Rattus norvegicus: one gene and its partner. Each later gene encodes a partner of the first gene's protein in a complex. Links are inferred from orthologs where the notes say so. Each region holds a gene or a part of one and is shown in the gene's direction. Other genes may lie near its edges.

Region 1 (9,423 bases):
GCTCTAGTTCTCAAGGAAGTGTTTGGCAACTGCTGTATCTCGAGCCCCTGAATGTAGGGTTTTACGTCCAGTCTGCACTTGCCTGTTTCCAGTTAAGGGTGTGTGCTAGGGCTGGGCCACACCACAACTAGAAACAGGTTTTGTTTTGTTTTGTTTTTTTTCTGTAAACAATGCGTCTTGGGGTTCCCAGTGTGATCAAATATCCTGCAGCAGGCCCTCGAAGCAAGTATAGCCAGCACTGTGAGCCTCCCTGATTGTGTCACTAAAGCAAAACTGTGAGATAGAAGGGTAGAGATTTCCCAAAAGTCTTTACCTATGTCTTCTTCATTTTTGTGTGAATAGAGCCCAGGCCACACCAGCTCTGACATCAACTCTGCGTACCTGGAGTCTTTCTTCCAGTCTTGTCCCAGGGGAGTTTTGCCATTCCAGGCTGGTTCACAGAAGTACGAGTTAAGCTTTCAAGGTGAGTTCTTGTCTTTGGTGGTGTGGTCTGTCCAATCTGGCACTGAGCACACAAGAGTAGATGGTGCATATCCGTGTCACGCCCAAGGCCCAGGGTCTTTTTTAGCTGGGGGAATAGTCTCTGCGAGTGGAGTGATAGCCGGTGGCCTGGGGCCCTGTTCCCAGCAGACTTTCTGTGCAGCCCCCAGAAGAGCCTCCAGACTCTCTGCCCACTTCTCTCCCAGTACTCAGAGGTTTGGACAGACATCTCTAGAGGGCTCTTCAGCTCCGTCAGATTATGTTTCTGATTCTGGGTGGGACCCTTCACTATTTAGTTTTGGATGACTATGGTGGAGAGCTTGGGCCTCTGGACAGCCTTAGACATCTAGAAACTTGCTCTTCATGCCTTGCCTCTGGATCATTTATCTCCTCCACTTGGGCACTTGGCCAGTCACCATGTGTAGTTGAACCTCTGTGGGAAGGCGTTCTGGGTAGCTGCCACCAGTCTGTTATGAAGTGAAAGAGAAATGAGCTCCAAGGCCAGCTTGACTGAAAGTCCTGTCCCCTTGGGATCATGCCTCAGAGACATGCCTGCAAGTAGCCAAACACTTGCCCTTTCAGGGCCAGTTTTGAAGAAGTGAGACTTTCTCAAGTCCTTAGCTTTCCCAGTTGTCTCTGAGGCTTGAGCCATTCATTATGTTGTAAACAACGTAACTTTCGGGATTATGTGACACCAAACGCTTTTGGAGATCGACCTGGCATTCCCACCAAGCCTTGTTGAAATATGCCCACTGCTTCCTCTCCTCTGTGTCCTCTAGACAGTGAGTAAAGAAGCTAGGGTATCAAATGTCAGTCGGTTGTTGGGGGTCAGTGTCCTAGCTTGTTTACTAGCTAGGACAGTGTCCTAGCTAGCATCTCTGTCGCTGTAATAGACACCATTACCAAAAACAACTGAGGGAGGAAAAGTTAGGACAGGCCAAGGCAGGAGTTTGAGAGACACCACAGAGGGCTGTTTCTTACTGTTCCCCTGGCTTACTTTACTTTACTATAAAGCAAAGTGCTCTAAAGGTACTTTACCACCTTACAGAGAACAGTTCAGTCTGCCTGGGCATGGCACCGCCCACAGTGGGCTGGGTCTCCCACCTAATCAGGAAGTGAGAAAAATGCCTCCCAAAACTAATTGGAGCTGGGTGATGGTAACCCATACCTTTAATCCCAGCACTCAGGAGGCAGAGGCAGCTGGATCTCTGTGCGTTCGAGGCTGGCCTGGTCTACAGAGCAATTTCCAGGACAACCAAGGCTACATAGAGAAACTCTATCTCAAAACTCCACCAAAACTACCACCACCAACAAAACAAAAACAGAAACAAACAAACAAACAAAAATAATAAAACCCTAGTGGAGACCCAGGGCATGTCTTTAATCTCTGCACTTGGGAGTCAGAGGCTAGAGAATCTCTGTGAGTTCCGGGGCTATTAGGAATGCATGGTGAGACCCAATCTGAACACAAAATACCCCCCCCCCACCCCCAGAGCAAAACAGACAAACTTGAATGAGTTATTACCAAGTGAAAACCATTGTACTTCAGATTTGTAAGCTACAGTGGGTGGTGTGGATCAAATGTGGGCCCATTAGGTGAGCAGCCTGTGCTCTTGTTGATTGAGCCATGTTTTTAACATCAGAGCCATGGGAAGACTTTGAGTATCATTGCAGCAATATCCAACTCACCCGTTTGATTTTATTTGTTCTGTTCTATCACCCTGACCGAGTCCTAATGTCTCAGTAAAATGAATCCATTTCACGTACGCAGCTGGCTGAGCATTGACATTACATATGACACATTTCCATCTGTCCAAAAGTTTGCCATGCCTCCTTTTGTCTTTCTTTTTTTTTGGTTCTTTTTTCTTTTTCCGGAGCTGGGGACCGAACCCAGGGCCTTGCCCTTCCTAGGCAAGCGCTCTGCCACTGAGCCAAATCCCCAATCCCTTGTCTTTCTTTCTTTTGTGGGTGTCGGGGGCTAGGGGTGTTGAGACAGGGTTTCTTTACATAGCTCTAGAACTTGTTTTGTAGACCAGACTCTACTCAACTCACAAAAATCTACCTGCCCCTAGTGCTGGGATTAAAGGCAAGCACACCACTGCCTAGCCCTGTTCTGACTTGTTTATAAGGCCCCACTCTACTAAATCTATTAAAAGATTCTCAAAGTATATATTCACACATAGCTGAGTTCTTTCATTCAAAATAGTGGGTTCTAGGGCTGGAGAGATGGCTCAGCGGTTAAGAGCACCCGACTGCTCTTCCAGAGGTCATGAGTTCAATTCCCAGCAACCACATGGTGGCTCACAACCATCTGTAAAGAGATCTGATGCCCTCTTCTGGTGTATCTGAAGACAGCTACAGTGTACTTATATATAATAAATAAATAAATCTTAAAAAAAAAAAAAGTGGGTTCTAGAATCATTTATGTTGTGGTATGTATAGTAGTTCTTCACTTTTATCTGCTGAATAATATTCCATTGTGAATACGTTTTATAGTTTATTATCCACCAGTTGCTTTCCAGTGTTTGGTCATAAGTAATGCAGCTCTTTTTGTGTGGATCCAGGTTTTCATTTATTTGGGTAGTGTTCCTAGATATGTTGGACTTTATGAAAAGCTCCAAAGAGAAATATTGTTTTATATTCTAGCCATGCATGGTCATTGAAAAAAGTCACTCTTGGAATTTTGAACCAGGTCTACAGTTGCTTTATCTAAAATTTCTCTTCTCTGTGCATGTAAGATTCATTCATGGTACACACCTTTAATCCCAGCAATCAAGAGGCAGAAGCAGGTGGATCTCAGTCAGTTTGAGGTTAGCCTGGTTTACAAAGTAAGTTCTGGGACAGCCAAGGCTAAACAGATAAACCCTGTCTTGAAAAGAAGAACAAAGACGAAATAAAGAAAAAGATTCAGTCATGAATGTTTGCTGTAGAAATGACCTCTGAGGGAAAAATGAGTCATTTTCTAGTATCAAGTCTTAATCTTTATTTTATTTCATTTTTGTCTAAAGGGATGATTCAGACAAATATAGCTTCCAAGACTCAAAGGCATGTTGTCAGAAGGCCAGTATTTGTTTCTTCGAACGATGTGGAGCAGAAGAGAAGAGCTCCAGAGTAAGTGTTCTGAAGCTGTTAGCTCTGGCCATGATCTTGCTGCGTCGTGCTGCATCATGCATCTGGATTCTGTGTTGTTGGGAAGTTCCTGCCTCTGTCTCACTGCAGTTTCTATTTGATTTACCTATGAGTAAGGAAGATTGTTAAGCAATGTGGCATAACTGAAAGTTTCCTGGACCAGGGGGCCAAGGGGTGCAGGCACTTGGTTAAGCTTTGTGTAATAGATATAAGGTTTGGATTTTGGGTATAGGGTGGGAAGGATACTATATCATTAAACCAGCATTTGCTTTTAACTTACAGGGTATTTTAGCAGCTCTCCATACTCTGGGTCACACTTGCTCCAGCTGTTACTGACTGGATCAAGGGGTGTGCCGGCAAATACACTGGGTTTTTGTTTTGCTGAGGGTCCTCTTTCTGTCTTTGGTTGTGCTGTGAGGGCAGGGGGCTGAGAAAAAGGCTTAAGCTAGCAGCCTGGTGAAGAGCTGGAGAAAGATCAAGTTGGCTAAAGGCATTGGTTTTAATTTTAATTGATTTCTAATCATTGTACCCATGGGGCATTTCAAGGTGGGTTTTGCTGTGGGGAATTCATTGTAACTTGCCTATCTGCTATGAAACTCAGTAAAGTCTCATTGTTCACAAACTTTGCAGTTGGATTTTTTCCCTCTGGGGGTGTGTGATATATGAGTCAGGTTTCAAGGCAGGTGTAAAAATCAAACTGTTCTAGATTCTTGTAGCTATGAGAGTCAAAGGTGGGTTACCACAAGGCGACATGGAAGTAACATCCAGAAAGTGCAGACAGGCAGAGAGTCATGTCCAGGAGGACGCTGCAGGATGGAGCAGCTTGGTCCAGGTTCTAGATTACCTAAGTTCACACCTGCCCTCTGTTCGTTAGCTTCAGGGATTTGGGTAGGGGAACCACGCTACCCCCTCTCATCTACATAACATGCTTAGCAGCTGCAGTGTGCTCACTGCTGAAATACACCTCAGACCCTGGGAACAAGGCTGGTGTGCCTCGTGCTCAGTAGTGACAGCCTCTTTGGTTTGTCTTCCTCCTGGTATTAGACTCTGTGACAACACATATGACATCTACTAAAATTGACAGTAATTCATTAACTATCATGTAATACCCAATTCACCCAATGTATTTTCCCATTCTCTTTGAAATTACCTTTTGTAGTTGATTTTATCCCTAAGCTGCTTTTAAACTATTTAAGTGTACCTGTCTCTATTTTTAAAAAATGTTGTGTGGGGGGCTGGAAAGATGGCTCAGTGGTTCAGAGTACTGCCTGGTCTTCCAGAGGACCTGAGTTCGGTTCTCATCACCCACGTAACAGCTCACAACTGTCTGTAACTACATCAATGCACATAAGATAGAAATAAGTAAATTATACAAAAATTATGTGCATGTGCATGCATGCTTATGATCTCACCAATTCTGGTGCATGTGGAGGGCAAAATTTGACATTGGTATGTTTTCCTCAATCTACCTCGAGACAGTTCCTAGCTGAACCTAGAGCTTGCACACAAGCCACCAAGTCCCTGGAACACTTGTTTCCAGTTTCCTGTGTGTACTGGTGTTGTGGGGGGGGGGTCTGCTATGCATAGCTTTTTTATGTGGATGCTGGGCATCTGAGATCAGATCCTCACTTTTCCCAGTTGTGAAAGTAATTTCTATTCACCTAACATCCATTCACCTAACATAACTGTCTTCTCAGAGGCTTACTGCTGAGAAAAGCTCACTCTTTCTAGTTCTTTCTGAACTCTGGCTGGCTGCTTCAACATAGCTGTTCTGGTTCATACTCTTCTCCAAGCTGACTGATTCAGTCTGGCTTCTCTCAACTTCTCACTGAATTGTTCTGCTTGGCCCAAACTAACTCTGGGAATTTGTTCTAATTTTCTGGCTTGTTCTTATTCTCTGGCTTCAGTTGCCTCTGCTGACCTGCATGTGAACTCACAAATGAACTTGGCTCCCTGCACTGACTTCCAACTGACTCACCAAACTCAATTTCACTCAAATGAACAGACAGACTCCCAACTCTCTATGCTGCTCTTTTTTTTTTTTTTAAGATTTATTCATTTATTCTATCTAAGTACACTGTAGCTGTCTTCAGATACACCAGAAGAGGGCATCGGATCTCTTTGCAGATGGTTGTGAGCCACCATGTGGGTGGTGGGAATTGAACTCATGACCTCTGGAAGAGCAGTCGGGTGCTCTTAACCGTTGAGCCATCTCTCCAGCCTTCTATGCTGCTCTTAAATGGCTTTTCTCCTGAGAGTTGGGCATATTTGGCTCATTCTATTAAATCCTTCTCTGGTTCATCACCTTGTCTGCTCCTTAGTTAGCTGTCATTGTTTGGGATTAAAGATGTGTACTAAAGGGTTCCACCCAGAAGGGTTAAAGGTGTGTGCTAAGCATCCCGACCAAAAAGTTTGCCTGCATTCATTCCAGCAGGTTCACCCAGACCTACAATGTCTTTGGATGTGATCAGAGCAGCCATATTGCTAGATTAAAATTCCTCTACACCCAATGAACCATCTCCTCAGTCCATTCCCTACATTTTCTTTTCTTTTCTCCCCTCCCCCTCTCATTTGTTTGTATCTGAGATAGGGTCTTTCTGTGTAGTCCTACCTGGCCTCAATCAAATTCAATACGTAGACCAGGCTGTCTTCGAACTCACAATGGTTCTGCCTCCTGAGTGCTAGGATTAAAGGTATGCGCCTCACATCTGACTACCCTCTATTTTTAAAAATGCGATTAAAAAAAAAACGGGGTAAGAAAAAAGAAATAGGTAGTTTGATCGATCAAAATATACTCCATCATATTCCAATGAGGCCATTTTATGGGTGGCTTCTATAGGCTGGTTACTAGATTTTGAGGACTTGTCAGTTCTGGGCTGGGTTTTTGTCAGGATGCTTTGCTCTGATTGTTCTGTTTACTGACACTAAGGGATGGCTGAGGTTACTTCAGTCTTCCAGTTGCTCTCTCACACTGAAATACAGTTCCTACAAAAAGGCAAGGTCCCTTCCTCTGTCCTATACTTAACCTGTCTACCATTTGACAAAGAAGTTACAAGACACACAAGCTCACACTGACACACCTGTACCTTTGAAGGTTGAGCAGATACATCAAAAAAAGAATTGGTGCCTTTACATGGTAGTTTTATGTATATCCACTCATTCATTCATTTACTCAGTGTGTGTGTGTGTGTGTGTGTGTGTGTGTGTGTGTGTGTGTGTGTGTGTGTGTTTAGGTGTGTGCATGCACTGCCCCACACACATATACACACAGGAAGAAGTCAATAACAAAATCTAAAGAGTCAGTTCTTTCCTTCAACCTGAAAGGATCTAGCAATAAGACCCATCATCAGGCAAGAACTGGTACCTACTGCTGTCTCACCTGCCCGTGCTTTATAGTTTAAAGTATTGGGAAAGGGAGCGTTTACATTCATTCCTAAATGATCGAACCTCTTTGTAAAAACCTGTGGTTACTGGAATCAGGATTTTTCAGGAGTGGTTCAGAGTAAATATAGAAGTCAATACTACATTACCCAGAAAGACTTTCTGGCTGTGTGTTGAGGGTAGAAAGAAAGGGACCCAAGTAAAATTTCCTTCTGTCTTTATTTGTAGTCATCAGCCAGTGACGCCCAAGGCAGATGCTCTGAATTCTATTCCCCAGAAGAATGCTAGCACTGTTTTGCCCAACGAATATGAGGTAACTGGCTTTGCTTGTCTGGTGGGTGAATCCTGTAAAGGTGGGAAGATGCTTTACAGGAAGCATATGGGTTTGTTAACGGAATGAGTGAACTGCTTCTTCCAAACTTAGCTCCAGAGTCAAAGGCAAGGCGCCTGGGTGTGATGGTGATGCATTCCCAGAGAACAACTGTTTTCTAGGGCATTTCTGTGTTCCTAGTGATGCAACGTCATTCAGGCAGACTCTCACAGCCACCCTGTGAGATCATAGCTGATAAAGAAAGCAGGATTCCGAGAGCAACAGTAGCCAACTTCAAGTGTCCTACTTTGCCACTAGCCCGGCTGAGACAAGACTGTTCCTTAGTCTGGCTTAGCCTCCAGCTCTTGTGAAGGCCAATCTTGTGTTCCATAGGTATCTCTGATCTCTCTGTCACTGGTGGGTTTTGGAATTTGGGCAGTTACCTTCCTGGGTCTCAGGACTAAGTCATATACGGCATAAGTTATCCTGAACAGACCGGCACATGCCTGTTGGATCATTACCAGAATGAACATGAGGCCAGATATGGACATGCTAAGCCAGCCCTTCCCACCTGAGAACAGCCATGGTGGTCCTGGTGTGGGTGGGCACATGTGATGATCAGCATGCTTCTAATGTTTTCTAGTTAACATTTAAACATCTTTTTTTTTTAAGTTTCTAGAACTCAATGACCAGGATGTGGAGTATGTCACAGTAAGCGAACAGTTTAAAGCATCCATGAAACCTTTCAAGATTGTGAGAATAAAGCGGATATGGAACCAAAAACTCTGGGACGCTTTTGAAAGGTGACATAATCAGACCTTGTTTGGGGTCATGTTATTTAAATAGATGGGGGGGGGGGCTGGGGATTTAGCTCAGTGGTAGAGCGCTTACCTAGGAAGCGCAAGGCCCTGGGTTCGGTCCCCAGCTCCGAAAAAAAAAAAGAACCAAAAAAAAAAAAATAGATCAAGGGGGAGCATTCATTTTATTTTATTTGCACATTTATTTATTTGATATGGGGCATGCACATCCATCACAAGACAACTTGTGGGAGTCAGTTGCCCCCCTCTGACCACGTGAGTCCAGGTGACTGAACTCGGCTCTCGTGCCTCGTGGTGGCCATCTTGCCAGCCTACTGTTCTTTGTTGGTACTGAACCTCACCTTTCTCTACATTAGGAAGAAGGAAAAGATGAAAAATAAAAACGAGATGCTCCTGTTTCACGCCGCATGCCGTGCCCATGTGGATTATATCTGTAAGAATAATTTCGAGTGGATCCTACATGGAAGTCGGGAGACCAGATATGGAAAAGGTTTGTGCTAGAGGAGAGAGGGCTGTGACTCCAGCCCTGTGTGTGGTTTTGTGGAGACGCCCTTGGCATCACATTGTAAACCTGCGCTTCTTGGCTCCAGCGGCCTTATGAGAAAACAAGCTGAGTTACCTCGATCCTGTGTGAGGGCAGCTCTGTTGCCTTGAGGGTGTGTGTGCTAGGCCTTGACCTAGGGCTCCTGTCTCGACTGCCCTCTCTTCTCTGGGAACAGCTCACGAGCTTCACATTTGTAAACCATTGCATCTGCTGGCTATGTTCTCTGCTGTTGTGTTTACTGGAGGTGGCTTTTCCTGACCTGTGTCTGTGACTGTAGAGCTTTTCAAACTAGCTTGCTGGTGCCACTGACGGGTTCCAGTGAAGAATGGGGAGGAGCCCTTCCTCGTCTCAGCCACAGGTTATGGGGCTCTGCCCTCACACAGAACCCGACTCCTCTTTTCTACCAACCATTCACTCTTTGCGGTTGATTACAGAATAAGATACAGTCAGACTTGGCAGCCAGTGCCGGCTTGGAATCCCAGCTACTTGGAAGGCAGAGGCAGGAAGATTTATTTAGCCCAAGGCTGGTTTGTACTGCAAAGCTAGCTCAAGGCTAGCCTGAACAACTTAGTAAGACCGAGTCTTAAAATAGAAAGAAAAACGTTTGGAGGCTGTTGCTCAGTGGTAGAGCTGTGGTCCCCAGAGGTTTAGTTACCGTGTTAGAAAGAGAGAAAACAAAGTATAATGATACAGATGTTTGGAGATGTCATGGTGAAACCCATTACAATGTATGGTGATCTAAAAATTAAATTAATAGAGCA
Region 2 (9,423 bases), on another chromosome or scaffold:
CCCCAAATGCAGAACAGTTGTTTGAACATTCTGGGAAAGGGGGAGCAAACCTTTAAAGTAAGTAGAACGCAGGAACACAATCTTTGAACGGTAGGAGCGTTTGGAACAGGGTATGGTGAGAGGCCACCAGGCTCAGGATGGAAGGGACTGTTGGAATCCCAGCCCCAGGTTTCCTTAGTGATCTGCTTTCTCCGTGGCCTCGACCCTAACTCTTAGTGAATCAAATCAACCTCTTTGTCTCAGGACCCTTCTCCATTCATTCACCCTTCTTGTGAATGTCAAAGGAGGCTAAGTTACGTGCTTGCCTGTTCCTGGTGCTAAGCAGGAGTCCAGTGAGGTTCCCTCTTAACATTGCATGGGCCCAGTTAAATGTGGCATGAAGCTGGGTGTGGTAGTCACTCCTGTTGTCCCAGCACATGAGAGACTGAAGCAGGATAGTTAGTCCCTATCAATTTGAAGCCAGCATGAGCTACAGAGTATGTTCCAGGCTAGCCTGGACAACAAGGTGAGACCCTGTCTCAGTGCACTAAGAAAAAAATAAAGGCAAGAAGTGGTGTGTAATACCATCTCTGTTTATAGAGGTAGAGGCAGAAGCCAAGTGGTTAACTCCCTTGGCAATAAAAATTAGAATTTAAGGTTACCATTTAGGCAAAGTCAAATATAGGGTTTGTTCCTGCCATACTCGCACACGTGGTGTGGAAATACATGCGTTTAAGGCTAATCGGCTATTTTAAAACCTTCGTAAAGTTTACGTTCTATTTCACGTGTAGTGGTGTTTTGCCTGCGTGCATGGGTGTGCACTGTGAGCGTGCCTGGTGCCCAGAGTCCCGAAAGGGTGTTGGAGCTTCTGGAGCTGGAGTTCCAGGCTGTTGTAAGTTGCCTGATGTGGATGCTGGGAACCAAATGCAGGGCTTTGCTGCACAGCTGGTGCTCGTTCTTAACCTTTGGGCCATCTCTCTGGCTCGATTTAAAATCTTTTAATAGCTGTAAATACTTATTCCTTTAGACATTCATTCAGTTTTTAAAAATTAGTTTCCAAGTCACAGTGGTTATCTCAGTTTATTTTCCTATAATGGTAATAAAATACTCTGACAGGAGAGACTTCCGGGGCCGGAGGAATGGAATGGCTAAGGGGTAAAAGTGCTTGCTGCTCTTTCAGGGGACCGAGCGGCTTGTTTCCCAGCACTCACACCGTGCAGCTCACACAGCTAAATGGACTTTGTGAGCCCGCAGTGTGTATGTGCAGACACATACAACCGGACTTGGATCGCTGGGCCCAAATGGTAAAAGGAGTGGACTGACCTCTGCAAGTTGTTCTCTGATCTTCACATTCTCATTGTGTCACGTGTGTATGCACACACACACACACACACACACACACACACACGCACACACACACACACACACACACACTGTGCACACACACACACACACACCACACAAATTTAAAAAGCAACTTTAAGGGTCGGAGAGCTAGCTCAGTGGTTAAGAGCACTGACAGCTCTTCCAGAGGTCCTGAGTTCAATTCCCAGCAACCACATGGTGGCTCACAGCTATCTGTAATGGGATCTGATGCCCTCCTCTGGTGTGTCTGAAGATAGCTACGGTATAATGCATAAAATGAATGACTCTTAAAAAGCAAAAAGCAACCTTAAGGAGGATAATTTCAGCTCTCAGCTTCAGCTTTTGTCAGTTTCAGGTTCTGTCCATCATAGGTGGGAAGTCACTGTAACAGGAACTTAAGGGTCACATCACATCCATGGTCAGGAAGAGAGAGCAATGAATGCATACATGATAGTGCTCAGCTTGCTTCCTCATAGGATCCAGAATCTGCTGCCTAGGGAATGGTGTCACTCACAGTGGATTGATCTTTCCACTCTAATTAGCGACCTTCTTACAGACCACCTGATCTAGACGGTCCCTCTCTGTGAATGCTTCTCAGGTGATTCCAGGTTGTGTTAAGTTGACAGTTAAATCTAAGCAGCAGAATGATTGTATGTTTTAGCTTTCCAGATGTTTAGCTTTTACCACTTAGAAGTAAACAGTATTGTACAACAGGTACTTCACTTTCTTTGTGTCCCAGTTAGGTTTCTATGCTGTGATACATGCCATGATCCTAGGAAGCTTGGGGAGGAAGGGTTTTATTTCATCTTAAACTTTCAGGCAATTGTCACCCTGATTGGCGTTCAGGGCGGGGACCCGGAGGCAGGGATTGGTACAGAGACTGCAGGGGATGCTACTTACTGGCTTGCTCAGCTGATTTCCTTTTCTTTTCTTTTCTTTTTTTTTTGGTTCTTTTTTTCGGAGCTGGGGACCGAACCCAGGGCCTTGCGCTTCCTAGGTAAGCGCTCTACCACTGAGCTAAATCCCCAGCCTTATTTATTTTTATATGAGTACACTGTAGCTGTCTTCAGACACACCAGAAGAGGGCATCAGATCCCATTACAGATGGTTGTGAGCCACCATGCGTTGCTGGGAATTGAACTCAGGATCTCTGGAAGAGCAGTCAGTGCTCTTAACTGCTGAGCCACCTCTCCAGCTCGTCAGCTGGCTTTTTTTATATCACCCAGGGACACCTGCCTAGATGGGCACTGCCCACCATGGGCTGGTCCTTCTTTTATCAATTAGCAATCAAGAAAATGTCCCATAAACTTGCCTACAGGCAATCTGATGAATCATTTTTCTCAACTGAGGGTCCTCCTTCTAAATAATTATATTGTGTCAAGTTAGAAAAAAAAACGCAAAACAAAAAACCCCCAAACCCAACCAGGACACTCCCGCTGGGCCTGGTGTTTTTTGGACAGGATCTCATTGTGAAGCCCTCGGCTGGACTGGTGCTTCATCTGTGTAGCCCAGGTTGGCTTTGAGCTTGTGGTAATCCTCCTGCTTCTGCCTCCTGAGCGCTGCTATTTTGTTCTGGGTCTAGGTTTCTGTTTACCTAAGACAGTCAGCTGTTGTCCACATCAGCTTTGTAACAGAATTGACACTGGAGGCTGAGTCAGTTTTAATGCTCAGTTACGTAGAACCTGGGGGGTACATGATGTAAACTTGGGAAATCGGTGCAGCGAAGCACAACAGGGCCTAGGGAATGAGTGCCGCAGAGCAGGATGCATCTTCACACGAAAGCAGTGAACTGCTTAACTAGAAAGGGCCTCTTGTTTATGTCACAGAGCATGGCATCCCTTAGCTTGCTTCCCAAACGCCTGTCCTACCTGTTCCTGTTCCTGGTCTTCTCTGTACCACAGTGCTTTTCAGGTACTGACCACCCACTTCTAACTTGGAGACTTGGAGAAAGAACTCTGGGGCTGGAGTTGGTCCAGGATCCTCTGTAAATCAAGCACTTCAGGACCTGGGGGTAGGGAGCCCTATTGTGACTGTGTTTTACAGGAAGGAAGGGTTGCTCATTGAGAAGGATGTGGGCTGGATCACTTTGGTTTTAAAAGTCTAAAGTCTACCCACCACCTTGTGAATGTTATTGTGGATGCAGAGTTACTAAAACGGGACCTGGGTATGGTGGCAAATATCTTTAATGCCAGCACTTGGGAGGTAGAGGCAGAGGCAGGAAGATGAGGAATTTGAGGTTAGCTTCAGCCATTCAGTGAGTTGGAGGCAAGCCTGGGCTATGTAACCTCCTGTCTCAAAATAAAACAAAATAGAACAAGAGGATTACTAAAGTGGGCTTCAGGTGTCTTTATTAAAATTTTGGGTTTGGAGAGATGGCTCAGTGGTTAGGTGCACTGGCTGATCTTTTAGAGGTTCTGAGTTCGGGCTGGAGAGATGGCTCAGCGGTTAAGAGCACCCGACTACTCTTCCAGAGGTCCTGAGTTCAATTCCCAGCAACCACATGGTGGCTCACAACCATCTGTAAAGAGACCCGATGCCCTCTTCTGGTGTGTCTGAAGTCAGCTATAGTGTACTTATATATAATAAATGAATAAAATCTTAAAAAAAAAATTTAGAGGTTCTGAGTTCAATTCCCAGCAGTCACATAGCAGTTCACAATCTTATGCCCTCTTCTGGTCTGTGGGCACACATGCAGACAGACAAAGCACCTGAAAAAACCAACCTCCCCCCAAAAAACCCAAAACAACAACAACAAAATCATCAAAAAAATCAAAAGAAACTCTTAGAAACCATAACAAAAAATTTTGAAGTTTTATTTTTCTATTTATTTTTTGAGATAAGGTCTCCCAAATGTAGGCTGGCTTCAGGCTCAGTGAGTAACTGGGGATGACCTTGAACTCATTCCCTTGTCTTCACCTTCTGAATGTGGCAGTTGCTGGTGTATGTTACCAGGCCCTGTTCATGTGGTGCTGGAGACAGAACCGAGGGCCTCATGCATGCCAGCTGGGCACTCCACCAAGCAAGCCTTAGTGCCGGAAAGCAAGCTCCTTGGGTGCCTTTCACTAAGGGCTTAGGATGCATTCGGAGACGGAGGGAATAGTTTGAGAAACTGAAGTCAGAGAGCAGAGCATGTGTTAAGAGTATAATCTGGGGGCTGGGGATTTAGCTCAGTGGTAGAGCGCTTACCTAGGAAGCGCAAGGCCCTGGGTTCGGTCCCCAGCTCCGAAAAAAAGAACCAAAAAAAAAAAAAAAAGAGTATAATCTGATCATTCACCTTAGCTAGAGTTGAGGGCACTTGAGGGAATCCAGAGAGAGAGAGAGAGAGAGAGAGAGAGAGAGAGAGAGAGAGAGTGTGTGTGTGTGTGTGTGTGTGTGTGTGTGTGAGGGGGTAGAGTTGGGGGCGAACTGGAAGGGTGACGTGGCGCCCCTTAGCTGCCAGGCCTGGACCTGCGGCCTTTAGTCAAGGTTTTTCACTTGGGCTGGGTTGGCTGAAGGGTGGGTGTGGGAGAGCTGTGAAGGGGAGAGCAGGCGAGACTGGCAGACTGTGGGTAGTTAGGTAAGGTAGATGAATTAATTGGTTGAAGGCTGGGCAGTAGTCTTAGTTTTAATGTCTGACTTATTAAAGTGATTGTGGCCCTCGGAAAGAAGGCAGTGTGGAAGTTCTGCAGTGGAAGGCTTTTCAGAGATAAATGCAGGTTTGTGAGTAACGTGGGAGAGAGAGCTAGATTGTACTGGTTCTTAGTGTCCAGTGAAGGCCGTGGTGAATGGTGCTGTTGGGAGACACCTTAACTGCCTTGGGTTCTTCACTGTTTCTCCTCTAACCTTGGGTCTCTGTCTAGTTAGTCACGGGTAGCTGGATGATGCTGAGAGAGAAGCTGACTATGGAGGCACAGGCTGTGTGTGATCTTAGCTACTTGGGGGGCCGAGGTAGGAATGATTGAGAGTTCAAAGCCTGCTAGGGCTACAGAGCAAATTCAAGGCTAGACTGAGTAACTTAGTAAAATCCTGTCTCTGATTTTTTTTTTTTTTGTTTGTCTTTGAGACAGGTTCTCTATGTAGCCCTGGCTGTCCTGGAACTATGTAGGCCAGGCTGGCTTAGAACTCACAGAGATTCACCTACCTCTGCCTCCTGGGTGCTGGGATTAAAGGTGTGCACCATCATATCCTGCCTGTCTCCCTGCTCTGCCCAAACCTGATGATCTCTATCTCTTATCTCTGTCTGTCTGTCTATCATCTATGTATCTATCTATCTTACCTGTCTGTCTGCCTATCATCTGTCTGTCTATCTGTCTGTCCATCTATCCATTTATCTCTAACCTGTATCTATGTATCTATTATCTGTCATCTGTCTGTCTGTCTATATGTACATATGTATCATTCATCTGTTTATCTGTTGGTCATCTACTTTTTTTTTGGTTCTTTTTTTCGGAGCTGGGGACCGAACCCAGGGCCTTGCGCTTCCTAGGCAAGCGCTCTACCACTGAGCTAAATCCCCAGCCCCTGTTGGTCATCTACTTATCTATCTTTTCTATGTATCTATCATCTATATCATCTATGTATCTATCTACCTATCGTCTATCTATATCTATTTATGTATCTGTTCACCATCTATCTGTCTATCACCTACCTATCTACTTGCCTACCTACTATCTCAGTGGTAAAGCACTTGCCTAGGATGCATGAGACTCTGGGCTCAATTCCCAAGAAGCCTTCCTCACCCTTCTGCAGTTGAGTGAATGAGTTGGGAGACTATTTCCATCACCAGAAGTGGGTCACAGGCACTGTTAGCTTACTGTGGGGTCTGTCCTTGGAGAACCCCAGAACAGTGTCTGTGTTTTGAGACAGGTTCATGGTGAAGCTGGCTGAAGAGACTGATGGGATCATTGTCTCCAATGACCAGTTCCGGGATCTGGCTGAGGAGTCTGACAAGTGGATGGCGATCATCAGAGAGCGGTGAGAGAATAGGGCACCAGCTCAGACCTTTCTCTAAACCAGCTCTTCTCTGGCCACTGGGTGAGAATCTTGGGAAAGGGCTTGAAGATACCTCAAAGGATGATAGCCAGTAGCTCCTGGTGGTGTTGATCTCAGACGCCTGGGAGGGAGGCGAGGTCATCTCTGTGACTTCCTCTTTCCTCCTGTAGCCTTCTGCCCTTCACCTTTGTGGGGAACCTCTTCATGGTCCCAGATGATCCACTGGGGCGAAATGGCCCCACCCTGGATGAGTTTCTGAAGAAGCCGGTCAGGTAACGCCCCTACTTCTGCAGGCAGTCTGTAGATCTGCTGCTCTTTGAAGGATTGGGGGCATGGATGGAGTGTCACAGTTTGGGTCTATCCTTTAAAATCTCCCCAGGGAGTCCTGACGGGCCTTTGTACTGGGCAGAAGAATTTTTATTTCATTTCTCTTCTGCTCAGTGTGTTTGATGGAGCCAACTGGGGGTGGTTGATGTAGTGATAGCTGGTCGTACCCCATGCCCTCCCTTGGCTCATTAATAAGTGATTAAATAAGGACATCTCATTAGGGTTCTGTCTTCCTATGGGGTCAATACTGCCTCTCAGTGGCCTGCTTAGGAAACCTCGTAAGTTCATCTACAGCTAGAAAGAGGTGCCTGGAGGCTCAGTTTTTCCTCCAGAGTGCTTATCAGTCTTATTCTGCCTTTTTTCCAGGAAGCAGGGCTCCTCTAAGTCTCAGCAGCCCTCCAAAGGTCCCACAGAACATGGTCATCAGCAGCAGGGGAAGGAAGTGGAGAAGGGCAGTGGTGGCATTCGGAAGACCCGGGAGACAGAGCGGCTCCGGCGCCAGCTGCTTGAAGTGTTTTGGGGTCAGGACCACAAGGTGGACTTCATCCTGCAGCGGGAACCATACTGCCGGGATATTAATCAACTTTCTGAGGCCCTGCTGAGTCTCAACTTCTGAGCCTTTCTGCCCTGCATAGCTGCTACCCTACTAGAATCAGCCTCCCCCAGCCCAGCCTCCTCACTTATGGTCCCTCTGCTGTTCAGACTATGACCTAGACTCATTCTAAAATGGCGTTTCAGCCAGACAAAGTACCAGAGAAGAGAATTTGAGTGTGGGAATACTCTTGCCTGAGGTACTTTAAGGACAGATCCTTAAAGTGACTCAACGTGAGGGAGGAGTGCAGCCAGCATTCCTTCAGACACACGAGGGTACAACTCGTACCCTCGTGAGGTTTTGATCAGACTCCACTCCTCAACTTTGTCTTAACAGAGGGTTTCTGTAGGGTGCAGAGGCTGTTCCTGGAGATGGAGACTGTGGCTTCATTACCAAGTTACTTGGTTGGAGGCTAGGGTAGCCTGGAGGGGACACAAAGGGTAAGCCGAGAAAGAAAGCGCCCTCTGGCTGCCCCTCTGAGTGGCTAGGATAGGCTGAGCTGTACCCTCGTGTGTCTGAAGGAATGCTGGCTCCTGGAGGGGTCACAGCGCTATGTGCACTGTTGTAGTGGGACAGCTGAGAGGCAGAAGGTAGAGGCGGGCAGGCTTCCAGTCTCAGTTGTGCCTTGGTTGTGACCTTGACGGAGTTGCTTGGCCTTTACTTCGGGCATAAAAATAACTTTGAGGGAAACGAGAACAGAGAAGGCGGCTCCCGTGAGGAACTGTGTACATGGATCATGGCTCAGGTGTGGCTGCCTGTGGCTGCACAGGCTCCCTAACCAAAACTTCACTTTCAGAGGTGTCCACTGTCTATACCCTCGATTTTCACGCTGGGTTTTCCGTAGAACATGCCCTGTAATGGCTGCATTCCTTTCCAGCAACCTTCAAAACGCGTTAACAGAATAGTCAAGGTAGGGTTGACGGATGCGTTACTTCAGTACTCTCAGGGCTCCTCTAAATGGCAGCTGGTCAAGTGTTTCAAGTGTTTACAGATCGACGAGGCCCCGGTTAAATCCTCTTTCTGGTGTTGGGCCTAGTCACCAAACCCATGACGTCATGATTCGCAGTGCTTAATGAGACCTATCTAATATTTTCTTTATGAAAGACAGGATTCATTCGGCAAAGACACACTGCTGCATATCGGGTGTCTGGGAAGTGGAGCTGAAGCCTCAGGATTGAAAGATACCTGATTGGTTACAGACCAACTCCACTGACCTATCGTGACACCCTGTTTACATTCGAATTCCCACACGTCATTGTTTTCTCTCTGAACTCTTTCTGTGCCAGGGAATTTACTATCAACAAGGTGGCACATTCCTTATGTGGACCTGTTAATCAGTTTTTCTCTAGTGTAGTCTAACATGCTTTTCTGTTTTACTTTTATCTTCCCCAGGAATAATTCAGAGCTGGTTAACTTTTTAGAGGCTAGGGTCAGATAGAGGTATAAAAAGGTGAGGCAGGTGCCCCTGGGTTCATGTAGTAAGTCCCCCAATTAATTAGATGGTTTCCTGACTCTGACTTACTCCAGGAGACACAGAGAGTTGACTGTGTGGCCCTTTGGGTCCCAGTGTCCTTGTTTTGTTGGGCAATTTTCAGTTCACGCAAGGTGAGGTGTTGGAGACAAGTTGATCAGGGAAATGACAAGGGAAGAGAAGAGAGTGGTCTGGACTGGGCACTGGTAGAACTGCTCTTTAAGTTTGTGATTGGTGTCTTGCTCTTTTTGCCTGCCATGATGGTGGGTGTACAGGGGGCTGGGATTATCTTCCCTTTTATGCTATGGGGCCTGGAAGGCTGAATGTTCCCAAGAAGATGAGAGACGAAGCCTAGGTTTATAGAGGGACAGCGACTCTGTCTTACTGCAGTATGACAAGCTGGAACCTGGATGTGTTTATTAATTCATGGCCGTTTGGTGAATGCTGAAGGCTAACTAACCTACAGGGCCTTTCCTCTCCACTTTGGCTGGCATCCTCTGAACAGGTGGTCAGGTGACGCCAGAACTCACTGGAAATAGATTTTTATATATATTATCTTTAATCTCTGTTATAACCTCATGTCTCCCCAGTTCGTTTGGGAAGAGAGACCATGAAAGGAAAGGATGAGGAGAGAGGTAAAATGTTCAGGACCCCGTTTAGGGAGAAGAGCCAGGTAGAGGAATAGTTCTAAAGATAATTCCAGGGGAGTACAAACCAA

What was found.
Region 2: the proteins of Zc3hav1 (region 1) and Khnyn are in contact, whole or in part, in a crystal structure (PDB 9BGL), measured with the Homo sapiens proteins. The link is inferred for Rattus norvegicus from reciprocal best matches to the Homo sapiens genes ZC3HAV1 and KHNYN. Residues at the interface, in NP_064504.2 of Homo sapiens: Glu5, Val6, Cys8, Phe9, Lys12, Ile13, Ala16, His17, Glu29, Ile30, Ala31, Leu32, Leu113, Glu115, Phe118, Ser127, Gly128, Leu129, Asn130, Glu133; in NP_001277186.1 of Homo sapiens: His651, Lys652, Asp654, Phe655, Gln658, Arg659, Pro661, Tyr662, Asn677, Phe678.

Annotation. Positions count from the first base shown.
Region 1 is NC_086022.1:67,983,886-67,993,308, reverse strand, and holds part of Zc3hav1 (zinc finger CCCH-type antiviral protein 1), read left to right. Parts: intron 1-342; coding exon 343-463; intron 464-3,488; coding exon 3,489-3,591; coding exon of another isoform or gene 3,592-3,595; exon of another isoform or gene 3,596-4,231; intron 4,232-7,218; coding exon 7,219-7,303; intron 7,304-7,972; coding exon 7,973-8,103; intron 8,104-8,474; coding exon 8,475-8,608; intron 8,609-9,423.
Region 2 is NC_086033.1:33,338,613-33,348,035, forward strand, and holds part of Khnyn (KH and NYN domain containing), read left to right. Parts: intron 1-5,390; coding exon of another isoform or gene 5,391-5,403; exon of another isoform or gene 5,404-6,183; intron 6,184-6,189; coding exon 6,190-6,297; exon of another isoform or gene 6,298-6,357; intron 6,358-6,485; coding exon 6,486-6,587; intron 6,588-7,008; coding exon 7,009-7,258; 3' UTR 7,259-9,423.